3 linked regions of the Arabidopsis thaliana genome follow. The protein of the gene in region 3 interacts with the protein of the main gene of each other region in a pairwise test. Each region holds a gene or a part of one and is shown on either strand. Other genes may lie near its edges. The genes, in order: TRP1, AT1G26660 and PFD6.

Region 1 (9,103 bases), on a different chromosome or scaffold from region 3:
TTGATTCGATAGCACAGTTTTGAATGTGCATGCAACAACTTAGGCATCTATCATATTTTTCTCTCATTCTTAAAGTATCTTCAGTGAATATACAGTTCATATTTACTATTTTTACATGTATAAACATAAAACACAGGCTCTTTCCTATCAGATACACCTAAAATAATTTACCTCCTACTTTTTGATTCTTTCACACTTTTTTTCTTAACATATAATAAGCCACTAATCCTGCAAATCAAACCTCTTCTTTCTTTATACACTCTCTCTCTCTTTCTCTCTTTTCACAAAGCCATCTTGAGGCAAACTCATCACCTCAGTTAAATCCTATGCATGCATTGAAACAACAGTTTTAATAAGAAAAACAAAATGGCAACAACCCGGAAACTGGTAGTAGAAGTAGTAGACGCAAAGGATCTTACACCAAAAGACGGTCATGGAACGTCAAGTCCGTACGTTGTCCTCGACTATTACGGCCAAAGAAGACGGACACGAACCATAGTACGTGACTTAAACCCTGTTTGGAACGAGACACTCGAGTTCAGTCTCGCAAAGCGACCATCTCATCAGCTCTTTACCGATGTTCTTGAGCTCGACATGTACCATGACAAGAACTTTGGACAAACCCGGAGGAACAATTTTCTTGGTAGGATCCGACTTGGGTCCGATCAGTTTGTTGGTCAAGGAGAAGAGGCTTTGATATATTATCCTTTGGAGAAGAAGAGTTTGTTTAATCTTGTACAAGGTGAGATTGGGCTTAGGGTTTACTACGCCGATGAAAAGCCTCCTCCTTTGAAACCGACGGTAGCTCCTCTTGAGACGGTGGTGGAGGAAAAGACGGAGGAGACGAAGGCGGAAGGTCCAGACGAGTCTAAGCCACCACCAGAGACTAATGACATTCCTGCTGAAGTGAAAGAAACCGTGAAACCACCACAACCACCACCGGAGGAGAGTTCACCAGCCGAGGGTCCCAAGCCAGACGAGGAAGCCTCACCACCTTTACAAGAAAACGCTACGGTTGGTGGAGAAGAACCACCGGCGTCGGAATCAGATAAGAATGAAGCAGAGGCGAAACCCGTGGAGGAGCCACCGCAGAATCAACCAGATGGTGAAGATATTGTGCTTGAGTCAGAAGATACAATGAGTTGGGCTTCGGCGCCGCGATCACCGTTACCGGAAGTTATCATTTCAAGATCTGTATCCGGTTCCATACCCGAAACCAAAAACGGACCACAACCACTACGGAGAAGCGTATCGGAAACTGCAAGCTACACATCAGAGATCTCCGACGTATCAACGATCGAACGATCCACGTTTGATTTGGTGGAGAAGATGCATTACGTCTTCATCCGCGTCGTGAAAGCTCGGTCTTTACCAACCTCCGGGAGTCCAGTCACAAAGATCTCACTCTCCGGCACAATGATTCAATCAAAACCGGCTAGAAAAACCTCTTGCTTCGAGTGGGATCAAACGTTCGCCTTCCTCCGTGACTCACCGGATTTATCTTCCTCTCCAATTCTGGAGATATCCGTGTGGGATTCATCGACGGGAATCGAAACCAGCCAATTCCTTGGTGGAATTTGCTTCGACGTGTCAGAGATTCCGCTCCGAGACCCGCCGGATAGTCCATTAGCGCCGCAATGGTACCGTCTCGAAGGTGGTGGAGCTCACAACAGTGATCTAATGCTTGCCACGTGGACAGGAACTCAAGCAGACGAATCATTCCCCGACGCGTGGAAAACTGATACAGCCGGAAACGTGACCGCACGAGCGAAGGTTTACATGTCGTCGAAGCTGTGGTATCTACGCGCTACCGTGATAGAAGCACAAGACTTGTTACCGCCTCAGTTAACGGCGTTTAAGGAAGCGTCATTTCAGTTAAAAGCTCAGTTAGGTTCCCAAGTTCAGAAAACCAAATCCGCCGTTACTCGTAACGGAGCTCCGTCATGGAACGAAGATCTACTCTTCGTAGCCGCCGAACCTTTCTCCGATCAGCTTGTTTTCACGTTGGAGTATCGAACATCGAAAGGACCAGTCACCGTCGGAATGGCTCGCGTGCCACTCAGCGCAATCGAGAGACGCGTCGACGATCGCTTGGTTGCTTCGAGATGGTTAGGATTGGAAGATCCAAACGACGAGAAGAGAGGAAACAGATCTAGAGTTCACATTAGGCTTTGCTTCGACGGAGGTTATCACGTGATGGACGAGGCGGCGCACGTGTGCAGTGATTACCGACCTACGGCGAGGCAGTTATGGAAACCAGCGGTGGGAATCGTCGAGCTCGGTATAATCGGTTGCAAAAATCTATTACCGATGAAGACGGTTAACGGAAAAGGATCAACGGACGCGTACACGGTGGCGAAATACGGTTCTAAATGGGTCCGTACCCGAACCGTGTCGGATTCTTTAGATCCGAAATGGAACGAACAGTACACGTGGAAAGTATACGATCCGTGTACGGTTTTGACTATAGGAGTCTTCGATAGCTGGGGAGTATACGAAGTCGACGGTGGAAAAGAAGCCACGCGTCAAGATCTAAGAATTGGAAAAGTACGTATACGTATATCGACGCTGGAGACTGGTAAAGCGTATAGAAATACGTATCCGTTACTGATGTTAGTTAACGGCGGCGTTAAAAAATTGGGAGAGATAGAATTGGCCGTTAGATTCGTGAGAACAGCTCCACCGTTGGATTTCTTACACGTGTATACTCAACCGTTATTGCCTTTGATGCATCACATTAAACCGTTGAGTTTGTTTCAAGAAGATATGTTGAGGAACACTGCAGTGAAGATCTTGGCCGCACATTTGTCACGATCTGAGCCGCCTTTAAGGCCGGAGATAGTACGGTATATGCTCGACGCCGATACTCATACTTTCAGTATGCGTAAAGTCAGAGCAAATTGGCTTCGGATAGTGAATGTAGTCGCCGGAATGGTCGACGTGGTGCGGTGGGTTGATGACACCCGTTTCTGGAAGAATCCGACATCAACTTTACTAGTTCACGCACTTGTCGTGATGCTGATTTGGTTCCCGGATCTTATCGTACCGACATTAGCGTTTTACTTGTTCGTGATTGGTGCGTGGAATTATAGGTTCAGGTCACGTGCTGCTCTACCACATTTCGATCCAAGACTCTCGTTAGCTGATGCAGCTGATAGAGACGAGCTCGACGAGGAGTTTGACGTCGTACCGAGCAACCGACCACCGGAGATGGTTCGGTTGAGGTACGATAAGCTACGAAACGTCGGAGCTAGAGTTCAAACGATTCTTGGTGAAGTGGCTGCGCAAGGGGAGAAGATGCAAGCTTTGGTGACGTGGCGTGACCCACGAGCGACTGGTATATTCGTGGGGCTGTGTTTCTTTGTGGCGTTGGTGTTGTATCTTGTGCCGACGAAGATGGTGGCTATGGCGTCAGGGTTTTATTACTTCCGGCATCCTATTTTCCGTGATCGGAAACCTTCTCCGGTGTTAAATTTCTTCCGGCGACTACCATCATTATCTGATCGGCTCATGTAATATTGTTTTTTTTTTTGGAGGGGATGTATATATAGTTTGGGTCGTTTAACCTTGTTGGGCCTTATTGGGTTATAATGGGCCACTAAATGGATTTTTATATGATTTCCTATTATAGGTGCTGTGTTTGACCATGTCTAAAACAAAGAAGTGTTTGGTATGACAAAATTGATGAACCTACTTTTTGAGCAGAGTGGTAAATGTGCGGAAATAAGCACACAAGGAAATCGTTGTTGGTGACTAACAAAAGGAGTTATCCACTGCCCAAGCATTACCAACTACCACCAACCAAACTCAATTTGGAAATTTCAAAGGTCCATTAGTCAAAGCAGCATTAAGTCATTCAGTAATCAACAAATATATTCATATGAAACCCAAAATAAAATAAAATAAACACTTTTCAAGAAAAAAATAAAATACTGAGTACTAAACTGGAAACCCTTTATAAGCAAAAAGACCAAAAGTTAAAAGTTAATTAAGATTTGGTTTAAGGCGCTTTGCTTTATTAGAGAGGAAGGAACGAACCATCATAGAAATCTCTCCTTCGTTCAAGTTTTTCTCTACTGTGTTGGTTGAGCAATCGAGTGATGGTTATTGCGGTGGCGACGACGAGCTCCATTGTTTCCGGAATCAAGCTTTCAGGGATCTTAACTTCGTTCAACGCCGTAGATGATGCGTCCAGTAGTTGCGGAAGAAGCAACTTGACCGGAGTTAGAATTTTTCCGACATTGAGTCGGCGACGATTCTCATCGATCGGAGCTGTTTCCCCAATTCGTGGGGATGCTCAATCTTCCTTTAGTCGCAGGTAAAGCCTCGATTTTTGGGTTTAGGTGTCTGCTTATTAGAGTAAAAACACATCCTTTGAAATTGTTTGTGGTCATTTGATTGTGCTCTTGATCCATTGAATTGCTGCAGCTCTTTCGCTTGCTCTCAGAATCTCGGTTTGAGCGGTGGATTTAGTGCAGCTGAAGCTCTGCCACCTGCTTGTGCAAATGCTAGCCCTTCTTCCATTAAATCTTTCAACCAGGTGACTCTTCATTTCTATTTTCAGGATAAGTTTGTGGTTTGATGATCCCTTGTTTCTAAGTCTCTTGATTTGTGAACAATTCAGGGTTTTTATATATCTGTATCTGTATTTCTGAGTTGGGTTGAGTTATTGGCTTCATGCTGACTAAACATGTTTGGCCCTGTGTGTTCTTCGAATTTCATTTTAATTGCTTGATGGGTTTTATTGACTTGAGTAAAAGTGTACTACTTTATAGGTTTTAAAAGAGTTTTACTTTTGGTGATTTTCCAATGGCTTTGAAGAGAGAGATTTAAATCATGGGGTTACTATGTTCTCATACTGCGTTTGCTCTGTTCTGTTGTTTTTCTTTCAGTTGATTGAAACCTTGATTGATCGGGTTGATCTATCTGAAACTGAGGCTGAATCATCTCTTGAGTTTTTGCTGAATGAGGCAAACGAGGCGCTGATCAGTGCCTTTCTAGTTCTTCTGAGAGCTAAAGGAGAGACATACGAAGAGGTAAGTATCCATTAAGTCAATCTAGGCTTATAATAAAAAAGTATACATAATCCTATATTACTGCACTTCAATAAGTTAACTCAACGTTCACTTTAATTCGGATATTGGGTAGATTGTGGGGTTAGCTAGGGCAATGATGAAGCATGCCAGGAAAGTGGAAGGATTAGTTGATGCTGTGGACATAGTTGGAACAGGTGGTGATGGAGCAAACACAGTCAATATATCAACTGGATCTTCAATACTTGCTGCAGCTTGTGGTGCAAAAGTAGCAAAGGTATAACGAATGAGAAAATCCTTAAAAGAAACGATATATTTAAATTTTGACTATCTGCATTAATGCTAAATGATCTTCGTCTGGTCGTCTAACTAATGGATACTTATTTTGCAGCAAGGGAATCGTTCAAGTTCTTCTGCTTGTGGAAGTGCTGATGTACTAGAGGCACTAGGAGTGGTTCTGGACTTGGGACCAGAGGGCATTAAAAGATGTGTTGAAGAAGGGGGGATCGGTTTTATGATGTCACCAATGTATCATCCAGCTATGAAGATCGTTGGTCCTGTTCGGAAAAAGCTTAAAATTAAAACTGTTTTTAACATATTGGGACCTATGCTTAATCCTGCTAGAGTTTCTTATGCTGTCGTTGGTGTATACCACAAAGATCTGGTACATTTACTTATTGCTGAAATTAGTTTGTTCATCAACAAAAACAAGACATTTACTTACCATTTGCTTGTGTGGTTTCATAGGTTGTTAAGATGGCAAAGGCACTGCAACGATTTGGAATGAAAAGAGCACTGGTGGTTCATTCATGTGGTCTAGACGAAATGAGTCCGTTAGGTAAGATTATCTCTTCCCAAAATTGATTACTTTTATTATTGAACAATTATTAACCAATCATGGCTTAACGAAAAACAGGAGGAGGACTAGTTTATGATGTAACTCCGGAAAAGATCGAAGAATTCTCATTCGACCCATGTAATGTTTCCTCTAGCTTTTTATCCCTTCTCTAAAATGAATATTGCAGATGCAGCTTAATGAAATTGAAGCTTATTTCTTTTTGACAGTGGACTTTGGTATTCCTCGTTGTACTCTTGAGGATTTGCGAGGTGGAGGTCCAGACTACAATGCGGATGTGCTAAGACGTGTGCTTTCAGGGGAAAGTGGAGCAATTGCGGATTCATTGGTATGTTTTGATTTGCCGATTCAACATTCTCTGAACTTCTGCAATTTGTTCATCCTTTTTTTTCAAAATCTTGTTTCAGATCCTAAACGCAGCTGCAGCTCTTCTGGTTAGCAACCGAGTTCAAACGCTAGCTGAAGGAGTAACCGTGGCACGTGAAGTACAATCGTCTGGGAAAGCTATCAAGACGCTTGATTCTTGGATAAACATCTCAAACTTAGCTCAGAAATCTCAGTGACCAGAAGAGGCTTATGATATTGTTGTATTCAACGGATCACCTTTGCAAGCAATTGTAGATGAAGATGGAGGCAATGTGCCAAAGGAAGAAGCTGGAGTTATTTGTAACTTAAGTTTTCTTTGTCAAACAATAAAGAGAAGAGACCGGAGCGAGCTCTATACACATTCATCATGTAAACACTACAACAATAATCTTTAATAAAATGAATAAATCTGTTTTACTCAAACGGAGTTCAGATTCATCATTGGGATACAAATCAAACCTAAGTAGTAAGTAGAAAAACAAAATTATAAAATTAGTCCTAACATTGAATCACAGACCATAATCTTGTTCCGAAGTTCTTCACTAATTCTGCAACTACACCTAAAATATCATCATCGTCATGGTGTCTATTCTTTGGAGACTTTCACACGCATCTCTGTCGGTTTGATGAGCTTGAACGTACAAACATCTCCGACCAGTAAACCTAACTCCTTGGCCAAACGACTCCATCCACCAGAGAATCTTGATTGTACATCAGTGACCACATATGTAACATCCCATGACTTCTTTCCTCTCGGATAATGAATCTTGAACATCGTTGTCTCAGTTGGCATATGCATATCCACAAATTTCTTTGGGATCCCCTGAATCACAGATTTTCATTAGATTAATACACACTTTTATACATAGCCATTTCGACAGTGTGTCACTGGTCTTGTCTTGCTTAATCTTACCAAGAACAGAAGGTGTGATTTCTTTATGGTGAGCTTGAATTCTGGAATAAGAGATGAAGTACCGGCTTCAGAGTCGTTACTAACAGTTTCCACCTTCTTCTTCTTACTCGTCTTGGATTTTTCGGTTTTATCGGCTTCCTTCTTTCTCAAGTTAAGCTCCTGTTTCTGCGTCAATCTCCCACTTGTAGATTCAGCTGTTTTGTGACAAGGATGGCTCGATTCAGACCAAGACTCTATCTCTTCTTCCTTCTTCACATCTTTGTAGATGCTCTTCCTCTCTTCTCTCTTGTTCCGACCTGTTTGCATCAAAATCAACCACAGAAGTAACTAATGACTGTATTCTTCTTCTTCTTCTTCTTAAGCATAAAGAAAGCAATAACATAGATGATGAACACTTACCGGAACTAGAAGTAATGGTTTTTCTTGGTCTAAGCATCTCCGTACCATCTGCCTCGAATATGGTTACATTAAAGCACATATTTGCCTCATGAGTGAAAGTAAGATACTCGTTTTCACCCAAACCGTTGTCATTCACAAACTGGTTCCATCCACGATCTTCCATGTAGTGAAAATTTGGGTTCTTGGAGATTTTAACTTGCCATGACCTTCCCCATGGTACTCTTAAGACCATCTTAAACGATGAAGACTTGTCGGAGATGCTTCTTATCAAGTGATGAGGAATCATTCTCTTCAGAGAGGCAACAAAATCAAGAAATATGGAACATCAGGAAATGGTAAAATGAAGTCACATTCCTCAATTTCAGTGATAAGTACAGTAAATAAAAGTTTACTGATCGATGTACAGTCAAAATCCATTTGGTCCGATCCGATCATTTCACACATCAAAACTTAGTTAAGACCAAGAACAGACAGATCTAAGTTCAGGACACTACAAGAGACACACTGAAGAACCAATAGATTCGATCTTTAATTTAAGAAAAAAGGCTAATAAGAAAATAAGTGATAAGGCTTACCATCATTTCAGTCGAATGATCTTCCCTTCGAAGAATCTTGAAGAATGCTGGATTATCTCTTTCTTCCATAATCTGACCAAAAAAAGCTTTGTTTTTCACCATCTCTGCTTCTCTCCTTCGATATGATCTTTCTTCAAAACCTCTCAGTCTTAACTCTTTAATCCTCTTCACTCTATCTCCTCAGTCACTCACTCGCATCTTCTCTTTTCAACTTTTCTATCTCACTCACTCGCTACTTCTCTTTCTCTCTCTCTGGTTGTGGGCAAAGAATGGGTAAAAAGAGAGGTCTCTTAAAACTTTAATTTCTAAAAACAGCCAAAGTGTTTTATTTTTCTGCATTAACTTTGAAATTAATTTTACTTGTGGTTAGTTGGAAAAGATTCCCATGAATCATTAAACTTTTGTGATTCGTAATTTGATATCGTAATGATACACAGAAACAGCAATATGCTCGTGACTTCCCAGACACGTAAAAAGCAGAGCAAATTCCTATTTTTAGTAACTGAATTCTAAAAAGACAGCGTCATATTTCCATATTTTTTTTTTTGGTTGCATAAACTATTAATTAACTTATACTGTACTAAAATACATTCACGGCAAATTTTGGTTAATCACCCATTTGAAAACCTCATTCCTAATATTTACTAGCTAGTCTGTAGAATGTAGACTTGTGTCCAGCACATACCCCTATTAACTTTATACAAGCTACATGTTTGAAAACTTAGCTAAAAAAATAAAAATACTACAGACTATACATGTTTTTTTTTGGGATCAAACTATAGAATATACATTAGTACTCTAAAATACCAAAAGAAACATGCATATATGTATATTCAGCGTAACAGATACGTATCAATAAATCATTGAAGAAAGGGATCGGATCCAGTCCACATCAACCCTAACTAGTGCGTGTCTCTATAGTTTTCCTTTTTGGGCAATGTATACTTGTCTTTATTATTTG
Region 2 (7,882 bases), 1.3 Mb from region 3:
ATCAAACGAAAATTCTTCAGAAACCTTATTCAATTGGAGTGGATTTTGGTATCCAAATTTCTAATTTTAGATGCAAATTCCACAAAAACGCCCAGATCAAGAATAACGATAACAATAACAATTAGCGTAGAATGAAGATCCGTGACTTACCTACAACAGAGATGCGTTTGGCGAGAGTGAGGTGGAGATTCTCCGGACGAATTAGGTTTTCCTCCGAGCCTTACCGTGAAAACCGAAAAGGGACCGACGAAGACAGGGAAGCGGAAGATATTTGGACACTTTGCTGACGTGGAATATCATTATCTTGTATCTGTTTCGTTCATACTTTTATTTCATTCTTCATCAGCTGTGTTAAACTGTTAATGATCTTCTAAGTTCTAACATGTGATTATTAATATTTAAAATAGAAATGGCAGATTTAACAGAGTGCGATTCACTATTCACCCCCACAACAATAGTCATTCTATAAAGTTTTGATTGCTTAATCGATATGTTTATCTAACACCAACAGTTTGGTCCATTCCGGAGAAAGAGTTAGTATTGAACAAACTAAGTTAATTCTCTGCTTTAAAAACTCAAAACAGTAAGCAGAACAAATCGAGAAGATAAGACTGCAAGAGAAAATCCTCAACTTTCCACTAGGTAGTGTACTAAAACGCACGTTGCCGGGATGACGGATTCTCTTCAGGAAGATTGAGTATTTGCTGAATCTGGTAATGAGCCTGCAATGGTAATTTAACATTAATACTTATCCGATGACACTTTCATATATCCGTCTGATGCAGGGTTCCTACGCAATAGTGATTTTCTAGTCCAATTCAACCTCATAAGACAAATGATTGACTACTATCACAAAGCAAGATAAGAACTTGAACTTACCAGTTTGATGCGCCCTTTGATCTGCGTAATAACACCAGTATACTCTTCTAGTTGTCTGTTAAAAACAAAAAAAACCACATTTATATTGCATCAACATTCAGTCACTATACTGCATTCCACCGGAGAACTCATTCATCATATACAATGATACAACCATATTTTCCTTGTACATGGAGCAAGAAAACTAGAAAAGCAAAGATTTCTCTTACTTTTGAGTTCTTTCCTCCCTTTGTGCTATATAGTCAAGAGCTTCTTGCCGTGTGAACTCCACATAAAAGCCGAGGCCTACATCCATGAATATGTGCCGAGTATCTGGCCTGAACTCAAACAAACACCCAAGTCAAGTGAAACGAAATCAGAAGCAAACCTGGTAGAAAGCATCTCCTATTTTAATCCCCATTTATTAAACGTTTTCTGCTCAATAATACATAACTAGCTTCTAACATACAGAACACAGTAAAAGCACACTTCTTAATTGCATTAAGCTGTGTATGGAGACAGTGTATTTCATTGTATGCAGACAATGCATGACCTTTCATAGCTAAATGACTTGACTAAAATTAAACGAAAGAACCAAAGCTATAAGTAACGTACACTTCAGCTTGCATGTAAACTTCTGAACCAAGGTTGACCCTTGTTTTGAGACTATTTACACCATTCTTCTCCAGAGTTTCTAGGTTTTTCCGCAAGTCAGAGCTGGAGTGGGAGTAACCGTCAAGGAAACAAGAATATTTCAACCGAATTAGATTTCACTAGAACAGCAAAGTATTGTCAATAACTACACCAAGAAGAGTTCCTCTCGATTTAGAAACACAAAACTAAGTCAAAAACTGACTGGTAAATGAACCCGTCATCTTTGATAGGGTTAAGACATGGGAGAAACTAACAAAACACTTAGGATCAGCTTAACAAGATGATGCACATCACGAGAAGCTAGAGTCTTCCCTATACAAAAGGATACAGTGTTTTTTGTTCTTCAAAGATCTTGTCCCTGCAAAACCAACAAATGCAGAGACCACAATGAATCGAAACCTCAAACAAAAAGTGAATAGCATGCAAAGAAAACAAACTAAACTAATCCTACATACACTTTAATATCATACTCACAATTTTAATTTTGATCTGAAAAGGAAGTAAATATAAATACCGTGAAGCAGTTGCATGTACAAGCTTCTGTTTCAAACCTTTGTCGATAATCTCCTCCAACAATTGCAAGTCTTTTTGACGTCCCTCCTCCATTACTGCAATGCGAACATAAACATATCAAGCTTAAGGCTCTAACCATCCCCTTGTTTATTTGATAAACTTAGTCCAGAATAAGTTTCTAGAGCCTTGAAATGTTCGTTTCAGAATCTAGAGTCACCTAACCATCAATATCTAAATACAAGCTCGGAGAGCGTCGAAACTATACAGAAATTGCATCAAACTAATACGTAGAAGCATTTCATCGAACAGGTGGTGAACATCCCCAAGAGAGAACACAAACCACGTAACTACACTTTAAATATGAGAATCAAATTGGTTTCCAAACGAAACCCTATCAAAAATACATTCAAATACAGAGAATCCAACTCGATAAACGAGAAGGAATCTGAAAATCACAAAATTAGAGGTACAGATAACAGCAAAGGTCCAAGAGTATTTGACTCACGAGTCACGAGCAAAGAGATGAAATAGGTCCAGACACGTCACGACCGAACGACGGTGATTCTTTTGGTGACAGTGATGTTGAACGACGGTGGTTGTGACGGCGAGTGGCGACGCCGCGACGGTGAGGGAGACGAAGAATTATTTGGTGGTTTTACAATTTGACCGCTCGAGCACAGATTATTTAAACCATGCGAACCGGTTTGTTCTTACTTTTGGTTTTAATTTCAAGTCCTTTGTAATATAATTACCTTGCATAAAGGCCCACCTACTTTTTAATTTTACTATTTTACGCCCAAGATTTTCAAGACTCAATCAAACTGGCTAAAAAGAAACAAGAGCAGAACTATGAACGAACTTGGGATGCTATATAATCTTCAAACAATGTAAACAGAGAAACCATATATAACAAAAACCTTAAAGATGCATCAAGTTTCAAAGTGAAACAAAAAGTGCTCAATAAAACCCCATTTGATGATATACAACTTCTTCTTCAGCTAATACGTTTCCATGTCCATTCACCGAGTTTGATCCGCACAACGCACCATTACTCAGCATCCACAACCGTAACCGTTTCCATGATTGGCTGAGTTTCACCTCTAGAAGCTTCCATACTATAATAAACTCGGCAGCTAAAATAGAACACTGCACTCATCATCGAATCTATAAGTGTCACAAAGGAATACATCAACACCAAAAGAGGTCCTTCCCATAACCTCGAAGAGCCATCTCCATAACTAACTTTCTTCACTCTGTGATCAAACAATCCTTCCACAAACGCCAATCCTAAAGTTGATCCAAGGAACATCAACAAACCAACCTGAATCTGCCCTTTGATCAAATCACTAGCTCTCATCAATGCTCCTAACCCTGAAACATCTTCCAAAACCGAGATCACAATCGCAGTGTTGCAGATTATAATCGCGTTAGCGAAAACTACAGAGAAGGCTAAACCAACTAGCATAGCTCCATAAACATTGAAATCTGGAGAGAAGCCGAGAACAGAGAAGGAACTGCAGATTGCTACAAGAAGAACGCAAAAGAAAGTGAAGCAACCAACAATCAGAATGCAAATCCAAACGTAAGTGAACACAACTCTCCTCCATATCTTCTGCAATATAACCAAGAACTTGCTTATATCAACTACTTCCCTCGAGTAAGAACAATCCACTGAGTAAACCACAGCTGCTTTAGACAACAGAGACACAGTGATAAACACAGGGAAACACATTGCAGACGAAACAGCAGTTTCAGCGAATTTCTGACAAGAATGTTTGACAAAAGGCTGCAAAGGAAGACCACTTGATTTCGCCACTAAAAGAAGCTTCACTGTGAGTTTATTCACTAATGATTGATCAACTAAAAAGTTTGGTAAGAGCAAAGCAGAGACAGGACAGATCAAAACAGCAGTAGTTAACATTAAAGCACCAAGATTGTACCGGAGAATTCGAACTGTTTCTCTTAAGATCTCTAACGCATTTGAGGAGTGAAATTGTTTGTGACTGTATGATTTTAGCTCCGGTTTCCGTAAAACCTGATTCGTTTCCGTCTCCATGTTTCCGAGAGTGAAGTGTGTTTTAGCTGAGTTCGAGATTACATACCATAAAGGTTGATTTCACAAGCAGCGGAGATAGAAATCGAAGCAAAGAGAAGATCTTTCAGATAACCCAGGAATCAAATTGAAAAAAAAAGACGAATCTTGGAACGGATCTTGTCTACGTTCCAACAATAATTTTGATTAGAGAAAACAAAAAATGTAAGATTTCCAATTTTGTCGGTGGCACAAGTGAACGTGCTTTTGTCGGAGGTAATCTTCTTCTACTCCATCGCGAACTTGAAGCTAAACCGCTAATTTAACTGAAACCTTAAAACACTAAACCATAAACCCGGTTTGAAAAAATTGATCAATTTGGTTAGGCCCAATAATAGCTTAATGGGCTTCTTTAGAGGAATAAAAAGAAGAATATTTCTATGGAAAAAAAAAAAAAAAAAAAGAGAGAATCTTTCCGGTGAATGGGAAATGGCAAGAAGAAGGATACGAGTACGATGAAGTTGAGTTAGAGCGGGAGAGAGAGACATACCGTTGACCACTAAAGACGAGAGCTTTAGAGAGAGACGCAACAATGGAGCTGAATATTTCCGAGAGTCGAAGCAGATCAATTCGTTGCATTGTGAAACTTGGTTTGTCTTTTGATCCCTATTAAAATACTTGCTGGATCGATTCTTAGATCGCATTTTAGTTGTTCTGTCTTATGGGTTTGATTCTGATTTGACTATTGAATACCGAAGATGAGGAAAGACTTTAAAGATCTGTCTTTTATTCATTTCCCATCAATTTTACCTGTCTAGACTTTGTAACAGCAGAATGTCTAAATGATTTGATAGGAGGTGCGGCAATTACTTGCAAAAACGAGCTGGAGAAGATTCACGATGAAAATCTGGAGGTCGTGGCGTGTCAGTTACGTCAAGCTATGTTGGAGGGTTCAGCTCCAAGCAAGGTTATTGGCATGGATTGGAGCAAGAGACCTGGAAGCTCTGAGATTTCTTGTGATGTGGATGACATAGGGGATCAAAAGTCTTCTGAGTTTAGTAAATTTGTTGTGGTTCATGGCGCTGGTTAGTTGGAGATTGATTCTTATCTGCTTAAATCTTATAATGAAGGATCAAAATACATTTTTGATTTAGCTCTTACAGATCATTGACCTGCTTGTGTTAGTTGAGCTGTTATTTAGTTTTTGGGTTTCTTATGTGTTGTTCTGATTTTTGTCATTAGGTTCCTTTGGGCACTTTCAGGCCAGTAGATCTGGGGTTCACAAAGGAGGACTTGAGAAACCTATTGTCAAAGCTGGTTTCGTTGCTACTCGTATATCTGTGAGACTGTTAGCTAAATCTGATGCTCTTACGTAAGATAGTCTTGAGCTGTTCTGATAGTCTACAACTTCTTTTTGCAGGTGACAAATCTTAATCTTGAAATTGTACGAGCACTAGCCCGAGGTATCTCTTAAGCTTATTCTCTTTTCCTACTCTGGCTAAGAGGAAAAGATGAATTTTGAAGCTAAACATTATGATCTCTTGCAGAGGGCATTCCTACGATAGGCATGTCTCCATTTTCATGTGGTTGGTCAACCTCCAAAAGAGATGTAAGAGCTAACTGAACTTCTTAACATATTTCCTGATCTGAAGCATGTGGGTTTAGATTTCAATGAGACTGCTTTTTGCATTAGGTGGCTTCTGCAGATCTAGCAACCGTAGCTAAAACCATAGACTCAGGATTTGTCCCTGTAAGTTTTGATCCCACCAGTGAAATTAGGTAGATGTTTACCAAAGTCTCTTGACTGTAATTTGGACAGTAATTTTTGTCATGGCCAGGTTCTCCATGGAGATGCAGTGCTGGACAATATACTGGTAATATGCTCTCCAGAGATACCAAATAGCTATCTAGATTCTTGTCCGTTTAGAATTTGAACAGTTGAAAATCTTGTCCTGAACAGGGCTGCACCATATTGAGTGGTGATGTTATCATCCGTCATCTTGCAGATCATTTGAAGCCAGAATATGTTGTCTTTCTCGTATCCTATTCATAGTATAAACCGGAAATTTAATTTGTGTTCTCTCTCCCTCTTTCCTATATATTCTTTGTTATCTGAGTAACTCTTTACAAAGACAGATGTACTAGGTGTCTACGATCGACCACCTTCACCTTCAGAGCCCGACGCTGTGCTCTTGAAAGAGATCGGTTAGTTTCAAACTTTACTGTTTGTTTTTTTTATATCTTTTCCAGACTTGGCCTGATACTAACAGTTCATGCAGCTGTTGGAGAAGATGGAAGCTGGAAGGTTGTGAATCCACTGTTGGAGCACACAGACAAGAAAGGTAAACGAAAGAACCAATGTTGTAAAACTATGCAATACAATAAGTCTGAGGGATTTGTTAAAAGTTCAAACCTCTCTGATTTTTGGAATCAAACAGTTGACTACTCTGTTGCGGCGCACGATACAACCGGTGGAATGGAAACGAAGATATCAGAAGCTGCTATGATTGCAAAACTTGGAGTCGATGTCTACATTGTGAAGGTAGATTATAGACAACTTTTGCCTTTAACCAACTAAATATCTTAGATAAAGATGGAGCTTTTAACCGCCATCATGCTCTTTTTTTCAATCTCCTCAAACAGGCTGCGACAACTCATTCACAGAGAGCACTAAACGGTGATTTGAGAGATAGTGTTCCTGAAGATTGGCTTGGTACTATCATCAGATTCTCAAAGTAGAATAATCTCCTGACAAATACACTAATTCCAGTTCCTCAACAAAGGAAAGCATTGACCTTTTCTTGCTATTACTGTTTTACCAGACTTTGTGCAAGGAATACAAAATCGTGTAATGTCAAAACCAGTTAAAATGTCGAATACTATCGCAGCCTGTGTAACTCTATGTTTCCACAAGTATTCAATCACATATCTTACACTGTTATTGTTAAATAAAATGTATATGTCACTCTTGAATCGTGCAAATAGCAATGAATATCATGTAAAGAGTTGCTTAAAACAAGCTTCATGAACAAACATATCCAGTGAACAAACAAAAAGTGGTTTTAAGAATAACATCTCATAAGAAACTTTGAATGTTTCAACACAAACTTTTCCAACAATCCAAAACCAATAGATATGGTTGTCTTGCAACAAGAAACACACACAAAGGGTCTAAATTAGGAAAAAGAAAAACATCTTTTGGTTCTTATAACATTGACGTCCGTTGTCAAACTGGTAATAATATATCGAATGATACTTGTTTACTTGCCACCACCAACTTCCTTGACGGCACAGATCTGCTCCTCTCCCATGGAAGACATGACAGACACCACAATATCCTTTCCCTCATCGAATCCAAGCCTCATCTGCATTAACAAAACACAACAACTGTTTTCAATATCACAATTCGAGAGATGAATACAAAGTCAAGTCATTTGTGTGCGAGTATGAAAAGACAAGAAAATAACCTGGGCGGTGAGACCATCATCGGTGGGAAGCTTGAGATCATCCTTGGTGCCACCACTGTCAGTGAGAAGGCTCACCTATAATGTAAACAAGTACAAAAGTTATGGCAAGAATAGATAAATAAAGCTGGAGTGATGAGGAAAGTGAGTATAAAGAAAAACATACGAAGCCATCCTCAGTGATATCAATCAACTGGTAATCAACACGGTTCACATGTGGAACCTGAGAAAAAAAGAGAAAGGAACAATATTTGAGTCAGATCACACAATCATATCAAATACTGTGAAAATGAATCTACATAGTTTGTGTAGTAACTTACATCACAATTGTGGGAAGATGGAACAATATCTTCAAGCTTCT
Region 3 (7,811 bases):
GCTCATCCAGCTCCAGGAGGAGCGAGCAGTACAGCAGAAGTTGCCTCTGTACAGCTTGAATTTAACTACCTCAGTTCTATTTCTGGTGATCCAAAGTATAGTACAGAGGCCATGAAGGTCTTAGCTCATATAAAAACACTTCCAAAGACAGAAGGTCTTGTTCCAATCTATATCAGGTAATTCGTGTTTGCTCTTTCAACTATAAATACCATGCTAGTAATTTGCTTTCCCTTGCTTTCCCGGGCTCTTTTGATCTGACTTGTTGTTTCTACCTGGTGCAGCCCTCAAACAGGTGACTTTGTTGGTGAGAATATCAGGTTGGGATCTCGTGGTGATAGCTACTATGAGTATTTAATTAAGGTGTGGCTTCAGCAAGGAGCTAAGTTGAATAGTAATTTCACATATTTGCATGATATGTACATTGAGGCAATGAAAGGAGTCAGGCATTTGCTTGTGCAAAATTCAATTCCAAAAGGTCTGGTCTTTGTAGGGGAGTTACCTTACGGGTCTAAGGGAGAATTCAGTCCAAAAATGGATCATTTGGTAAGTGTCACTAGCTACTTGGTACTGAAAATAGCAATCATTTCATAGTATTACGCTATTGTCATTCGCTGAGAGATTTCACGAGTTTTGTTGTTCTTGACTTGTGATTCATTCAATTGCTTTTTCTTGCTAGGTATGCTTCTTGCCTGGTACTCTTGCTCTCGGTGCTACCAAGGGCCTCACAAAGGAACAAGCCCTGAAGGAAAATCTTTTGTCCTTTGAGGACCTAGAAAATCTGAAACTTGCAGAAGATTTAGCGAAAACATGCTTTGAGATGTATGAAGTAACTGCCACTGGCCTTGCTCCAGAAATTGCTTACTTTCACACAAAGGTAAGTTTTGTGTGTACTTTTTTCCAAAACGTTATTGTCATCCTTGCTCTTCTTGTTTTTTGTTAAGTCTTGGATTTTAATAAAGCAGGATTACACTGAGGATGGTCTTGATGGTGGGAATAAGAGTTCTATGTATGCAAATGACATAATCATTAAGCCCGCTGATCGACATAATCTACTGCGCCCTGAAACTGTTGAATCACTCTTTGTCCTCTATCGTATCACAAAAGATACAAAGTATGAAAACTATTCATCCGATTTTCCCTCACTAATCTAAGTTCTTGGGGACTATTCTACTCTTAAAGCTAACACATTTCTAAAATTGCAGATACCGAGATCAAGGTTGGCAAATTTTTGAAGCTTTTGAAAAGTACACAAAGGTGAAATCAGGTGGATACACATCATTGGATGATGTAACAGAAGTGCCTCCTCATAGAAGAGATAAGATGGAGACATTTTTCCTTGGTGAAACATTGAAGTACTTATACTTGCTCTTTGGAGATGACTCAGTGATACCATTGGATAAGTTTGTTTTCAACACTGAAGCTCATCCATTACCAATAAGAAGAAACACCTGAAGGCTTAGTTTTGAAGACTACTCCAGACAATACACACACACACACACATACACAAACTTAAGAGAGGGTATGGAGAAAGTGATGTATAGTACACTGCCAATTGGAGAAGAAGTTAGTTCGTTGAGGAAAAAAAGTCATAACTTTCAATGTAAGATAAGCTTCTGCATCCAAATTATAACTTAACTCGTAAAAGTTTTTGCTTGTAGTAGTAGGTTTCTTGAGACTAATATTCTCTCTTTTCGTTAAGCTCTCACTTGGCAAAATGTAATCAGACACAATTGACATGGAGATGAATTATGGTTTTAGTTTTTTATACATACCATTTACACTGCAAGATAAGATCATTCTGATATGACTAATAAACCTTTAAATTTGAGATCATTTGGTCATCTTAGCTCTTTGTAATCTGCAAGGTGTTGCATAGAACATAATCGACTTGAAGTATGTATGAAGACCAAATTAGGCGCACACACACAATATTTTTTTGTAAATCTCCAAACTCATAACTTCATAAAGGGCGACAAGATCATGTATAAGTTACACACTTAAGTCTAGTTGTCAACAAAAAAAGATTAGTGACACAAAGAGACATCAATCACCCAATAAACTGAAACCACAAGAACCCTCAGTAACTGAATATGACACCATTGAGACAAGGCCGAGCACAGTGGAAAGGGTTTAACAAGTGTGGTTGCAACTGAGTAGCTCAATCAAGCCTTTGCTTTTCCTGCCTGGATAGTTTGTAGCCTTTGTTGTAACTTCATTATCTGCAAATATTTTGATTCCATAAATTGAAACCATAGGATCATTATCACCATTTAAAAGCCAAGAAAGTGCAGAAACAGCAAATCCTCATATTGCGCCAAGGCCAGTAGGCCACTCAACGAGACAGAGGAGATAACAAAGTTCAAGTATTTACTTTCCGGGCAGGCTTAAACTGACAACAATAGCTACCAAAGTATCTTTTTAGAGCTTAGTATACTGAGCATCAATGTTTGGACTATTATTGGTGTAGCAGTCCTAGTATCACTAATTCAATGCACTCAAAGAAGTATATAAATGCATGAGAGGCAGATGTCTTACCGTTTCTCTCTTGTTGTTTTGTTTTTCTTCCATATCTTGAAGAATTGCATCAAGCCGTTTCCTGCAAAGGATACAACAATATTCTTGAGGTCACAACACTATAGCTCAAACACTTTATCAACATCTCTCATAGTTGTTACATAGCTAGAAGTGAAAACATTTTAGCTACTTATGAACAGCAATCACTCACTATTAGCCTAGAAAGAAAGAAAGGTTCTTTATTTACAATAACAATCCCAAAATAGGTTTCTCAACGAACTGCATTTGCTTCAATCACATTAAAAGAAAAGAAACTCACAATTCAGCAGAGATGTACTCAATTCGTTTACGAACATTTGCATTAGCTTCAGCCAAATCCTGCTTCACTAACACCGGACCAATCAATTTGTAGACGTTAGCATCTTCTTCCAGCAAATCTAACTCCTGTAGATACAAGACAGACACATAAAAAGATTAAAGCCAATCAACAATCGAAATAAACTTCTCTTTTCAGTTGAAGTAGCCACAAAACTCAGATTAAACAGTGAGACATGAACATATACCTTAAGCACGAGCTCATTCTCACCGAGTTGGATCGTATACTTCTTTCTCAGCTGATGATTCTTCCCGATATCTGAAAATATGAACACAGAAAAGTAGGGTTTCCCGCCTCCAGAAACAAGAAAAGAATCAAATCGAGAAAAGTTACGAGAATCTACGAAACTTGCCTTTCTGGATTTTGCCGAGATCATTAGCCTTGTTTTCTAGGTCTCTCTGCAAATCACGAACAGTCGATGAACTCATCTTCGTCGTCGTCGTCTGCTTCTTCCTCACTCCGGTGGTTTATTGAAAACTCGCAGATCCACCAAGGAGCAGTAACAAAACTCCGTTAAAGCCCCCGTGTTTTAGTAAGGCCCAAAACCGTATTAACTTGGACTTTTTAACGGCCCAATATGCTTTTCTTCTATTATCAAGCCTAGTTTTAGTTACATACAAAAGAAAAACACTATTTATCACTTGGTGACGTAATATCTTCTAGTTCACTGATCATATCAACACTGAACATAACTCTCATAAACACAAATTTTTACTTTTCGTCCCTTTATACCTCAATCTATAACGGGAAAAATGTCGTTTAATACGTGAACTTTAAAAAAATGGTCATTTAATACGTGAACTTTATATATGGTAAATTAATACATACAAAAATCGTTGACTGGCCATTTTACACAAACTTAATCGTTGATCAGGCCAAAATCTACACGACGTTATCTGACATTAACAGACCGATAACAGCCGTTAACTAATCTCTGTTAGTTTCCAATACGACGTCATTTCGATTATCGCAAAAACGGGAAAAATGCCATTTAATACTCCAACTTTCAAATTATGGTCATTTTATACATCAACTTCACATATGGCCATTTTATACATGAACTAAACGTTGACCAACAGTTTAAAAAATGAGAATGTGTTAACCAGGCCAAAGAGACATACCGCTATCTAGGCCTAGGTATTTGAATAAATCCAAACCGAATCCAAACAAAAATCTGAATATCTAGGTCTAGATAGCGGTATGTCTTTTTGGTCTAATCAACGCATTCTCATATTTTAAACTATTGGTCAACGTTTAGTTCATATATAAAATGGCCACATGTGAAGTTGATATATAAAATGACCACAATTTGAAAATTGGAGTATTAAATGGCATTTTCCGTTTTCGCGATACTCGAAACAACGTCGTATTAGAAACTAACGAAGATTAGTTAACGACTGTTATCGGTCTGTTAATGTCAGATAACGTCGTGTAGATTTTGGCTTGATCAACGATTAAGTTTATGTAAAATTGTCAGTCAACGATTTTTGTATGTATTAATTTGCCATATATAAAGTTCACGTATTAAATGGCCAATTTTGAAAGTTCACGTATTAAACAACATTTTTTCAAATCTATAATAGTGAAAAGCCGAAGATTTTACAAAGACATTTTTGTTGTTGTCAAACTAATAATTCACTCCACAGCCTAAAAGAAATAGAGTTGGATCAAAAGTAAAGTTGCCACTTTAGTCTCGCATCTAGCACAGATCCAATGAGAGGGAAAAAAAAAGAGAGAACCTAGGTCAATACTAAAACTTATTCCATCGTGGCTCTACTAATTAGAACAATTAAATACTATGTTACAGTAGAAACATTTCTTTTACTTTTTTTTTGTTATGCGTGCATGGAGTTTTGTCTGTAAAGAGCTTTAAATATAGTGGAAATTAAATGTTGAGAGTTAAAAAAAAAGAAGAAAAAAAAAGACAAGGAGTGAGGAATCTTGGATAAAAGGACACTAACCTTCCCTGTCTTTGCTCGCTGCCCGAAAAGAACATACAGAAAGACACTTTCACATTTCACACTTACAGAGAGAGAGAAGAGAGATAAAGAGAGCATTTAGATATCTTGAGGAAGACGAAGAAGAAGTAGAGGAGAGATATGGTTCCGAGCAACAATAGATGCAAATGGAGTTCCATTTTCTTGTTTCTGCTCAGTGTCTCCGTTGCCGTCTTAGTCGCCGTCGCTGACGACAAGTCTCCGGCGGTTGAGGATGGTACGCTTTTCACTTACCTTCATCAAATTTCTTTGTTCTTTTCTGGTCTCTGCGTGATTGGTTTTTCTCAAAAATGCCATTTAAATAAGAATCTTGTGTTATCAAGATTTGGTTTCTTGAATCCAACCCATCTCTGTTTCAAGAACAGAGGACCAAAATAATTTAGTTTCAGATGATTGATTTAGTTTTTATCTGGATTTTGAGTGTTTAGATTTTTGGGGGTTTTCCTCAATTTCACTTCACTGTTGCTAAGATTTTTAAGTTGAGTTTTCTTCTTTACTAAAGATTAGAAATCTGTTATGTTAATGTCTAGTTTAAGTAAGTAAACAGTGTTAATCGAACCAGTAATGCTAATCTAGTTAAGGTTATCTCATAGTCAGGGGAAAAACTGTCAACTGAATTTAATCCGTCACAATAGAAAAGAAAATGAAAGTTGTATGGGTCTATTTGTCAATTAAGTATAAAGTATCTTATTCGTGCTTTCAGCGGCGGCAAAATTAAAAAGGAAGCCCTTCTTAAATCTTCCTTAGCTTCAATTAACAAATAACAAACACACACCAACAAAACCCTGAGAACTCTTTTTTTTTTTTTTTATGTGGATATTAATTTAAAGATCTGATTTCATAAAGAAAGTTGTTTAGGTACTTTACTTTCTAAGAAATTATTTGATTAAAAAATTTACCAAAAAAAAAAACCACTTGAGTAGGATTCGCGCCAAATAGTAGGTGGTCTTTTGGTCGTAGTATTACAAAACGACAAAGAATACTTGATAAAACGACATCCAAGTGTCTGAATACTTCTCTAGTTTTTCAACACGCTTTCTTTTGTTTTTCCACCGAAAACACAACAATTGTCTCTTGCTTTCCCCTATTAGAAGGGGCATTTTTAACTTGTAAATTGGGAACTGTAGAGTGTAAACATAAAAATTAGTAAATAGTCAAAACGAGTCTTCACAATTGTGGTCCTACTAAGTCATAGCTAGAAGGTATGGGCCGTATGTCTGGCCCCATATTAGACGTTTCAAGCCTCGTGTCTCCTTATTATTTTTTTTCGTTCACGTTTTTACAATCTAGTAAATTAAAGTGTTATGTCGAATCAAACTATTTATTTGAGAAAGACAAAAACAATCTCTTTTCACACCGCTAGCTAGTTTCAAAACAATCTTGAAACGTGATCATTTGGCGTTTCCAATGATTTTGTCTAACCAAATAATCCAATGTACATTATTATTTTAAAATTGTCTGTAACCTTTATTTTTTGTTATGACAGGTTTAGTGATCAACGGCGACTTCGAAACATCACCGTCAAGTGGCTTTCCTGACGACGGAGTAACTGACGGACCATCCGATATCCCAAGCTGGAAATCCAACGGTACGGTGGAGCTAATAAATTCCGGTCAAAAACAAGGCGGAATGATCCTCATTGTCCCACAAGGCCGTCACGCCGTCCGATTAGGGAACGACGCAGAGATCAGCCAAGATCTAACGGTTGAGAAAGGTTTTGTCTATTCAGTCACGTTCAGCGCTGCTCGCACGTGCGCTCAACTCGAATCGATAAACGTGTCGGTAGCGTCTGTGAACGCAGACGCGGACGATATGCTGGCGTCGCGGAACGTTGATTTGCAAACGCTTTATAGCGTTCAAGGGTGGGACCCTTATGCGTGGGCGTTTGAAGCGGAAGATGATCATGTACGGTTGGTTTTTAAGAATCCGGGTATGGAAGATGATCCGACTTGTGGACCAATCATCGATGACATTGCTATTAAGAAGCTCTTTACTCCTGATAAACCCAAAGGTAACCATAAATTTCTCTATATTTCTATTTTCGACTCCAAAGTTCTAAAATGTGCCTATTTCACCCTGATTTTTTTGGTTACATTTTGTAGATAATGCGGTGATTAATGGAGATTTCGAAGATGGTCCATGGATGTTTAGGAACACGTCTCTTGGTGTTTTACTTCCGACAAACCTCGACGAAGAAATCTCGTCTCTTCCTGGTTGGACTGTTGAATCGAACAGAGCGGTTCGGTTTGTTGACTCGGATCACTTCTCTGTTCCAAAGGGCAAACGAGCCGTCGAGCTACTCTCAGGCAAAGAAGGAATTATTTCACAAATGGTTGAGACCAAAGCAGATAAGCCGTACATATTGTCTTTCTCACTAGGCCACGCAGGTGATAAATGCAAGGAACCATTGGCTATTATGGCATTCGCAGGTGATCAGGCGCAGAACTTTCATTACATGGCGCAAGCGAACTCCAGTTTCGAAAAGGCCGGTTTGAATTTCACGGCTAAGGCTGATCGAACCAGAGTTGCGTTCTACAGTGTTTATTACAATACGAGGACTGATGATATGAGCTCCTTGTGTGGACCTGTGATCGATGACGTTAGAGTGTGGTTCTCCGGGTCGAAGAGAATCGGAGCTGGGTTTGGGTTTTGGGTTTTTGTTCTTCTCGTTGTCGGTTTGGTTTAAGTAACTCAAAATTTAGATGTTCCGGTTTTATTCTAGTGTACCAGTAAAATGTTGTTGCAAACCAAGAAGAATTCTGTATGGTTTATTTATCCATCGGGTTAAAGCAAATTCGAAGGTGTTTATCGTTATGCAAAAGCTTGTCCCAACGAAAATCGAGAGTTTTTTTCTATAGTTTTATTATTTTGTTCGAATATATTTGGATAAATCTACCACAAACATAACATCTTAGAAAATGTAT

Evidence for each region.
Region 1: the proteins of PFD6 (region 3) and TRP1 interact in a two-hybrid assay, tested with the Arabidopsis thaliana proteins (one large-scale study listed by BioGRID).
Region 2: the proteins of PFD6 (region 3) and AT1G26660 interact in a two-hybrid assay, tested with the Arabidopsis thaliana proteins (one large-scale study listed by BioGRID).

The regions. Positions count from the first base shown.
Region 1 is NC_003076.8:5,953,230-5,962,332, forward strand, and holds TRP1 (tryptophan biosynthesis 1), read left to right. Parts: upstream 1-3,850; 5' UTR 3,851-4,100; coding exon 4,101-4,318; intron 4,319-4,428; coding exon 4,429-4,540; intron 4,541-4,892; coding exon 4,893-5,036; intron 5,037-5,148; coding exon 5,149-5,310; intron 5,311-5,424; coding exon 5,425-5,697; intron 5,698-5,780; coding exon 5,781-5,871; intron 5,872-5,949; coding exon 5,950-6,009; intron 6,010-6,098; coding exon 6,099-6,217; intron 6,218-6,296; coding exon 6,297-6,452; 3' UTR 6,453-6,841; downstream 6,842-9,103. Other genes in the region: AT5G17980 (C2 calcium/lipid-binding plant phosphoribosyltransferase family protein), read left to right, coding at 367-3,516; VDD (VERDANDI), read right to left, coding at 6,842-7,078, 7,169-7,464, 7,568-7,856, 8,143-8,244.
Region 2 is NC_003070.9:9,206,534-9,214,415, reverse strand, and holds AT1G26660 (Prefoldin chaperone subunit family protein), read right to left. Parts: upstream 2,653-7,882; 5' UTR 2,531-2,652; intron 2,121-2,530; 5' UTR 2,119-2,120; coding exon 2,027-2,118; intron 1,912-2,026; coding exon 1,807-1,911; intron 1,576-1,806; coding exon 1,474-1,575; intron 1,197-1,473; coding exon 1,089-1,196; intron 935-1,088; coding exon 880-934; intron 723-879; coding exon 651-722; 3' UTR 541-650; downstream 1-540. Other genes in the region: AT1G26650 (Son of sevenless protein), read right to left, coding at 3,074-4,081; AT1G26640 (Amino acid kinase family protein), read left to right, coding at 4,650-4,707, 4,912-5,142, 5,300-5,397, 5,478-5,520, 5,605-5,666, 5,751-5,807, 5,896-5,931, 6,018-6,095 and 4 more; FBR12 (Eukaryotic translation initiation factor 5A-1 (eIF-5A 1) protein), read right to left, coding at 7,318-7,422, 7,525-7,599, 7,688-7,744, 7,842-7,882.
Region 3 is NC_003070.9:10,503,173-10,510,983, reverse strand, and holds PFD6 (prefoldin 6), read right to left. Parts: upstream 3,452-7,811; 5' UTR 3,319-3,451; coding exon 3,243-3,318; intron 3,149-3,242; coding exon 3,078-3,148; intron 2,959-3,077; coding exon 2,834-2,958; intron 2,597-2,833; coding exon 2,536-2,596; intron 2,220-2,535; coding exon 2,163-2,219; 3' UTR 1,833-2,162; downstream 1-1,832. Other genes in the region: MNS3 (alpha-mannosidase 3), read left to right, coding at 1-176, 282-543, 677-874, 963-1,111, 1,203-1,452; AT1G29980 (choice-of-anchor C domain protein, putative (Protein of unknown function, DUF642)), read left to right, coding at 4,990-5,104, 6,374-6,898, 6,990-7,573. UniProt on the Arabidopsis thaliana protein: Binds specifically to cytosolic chaperonin (c-CPN) and transfers target proteins to it. Binds to nascent polypeptide chain and promotes folding in an environment in which there are many competing pathways for nonnative proteins.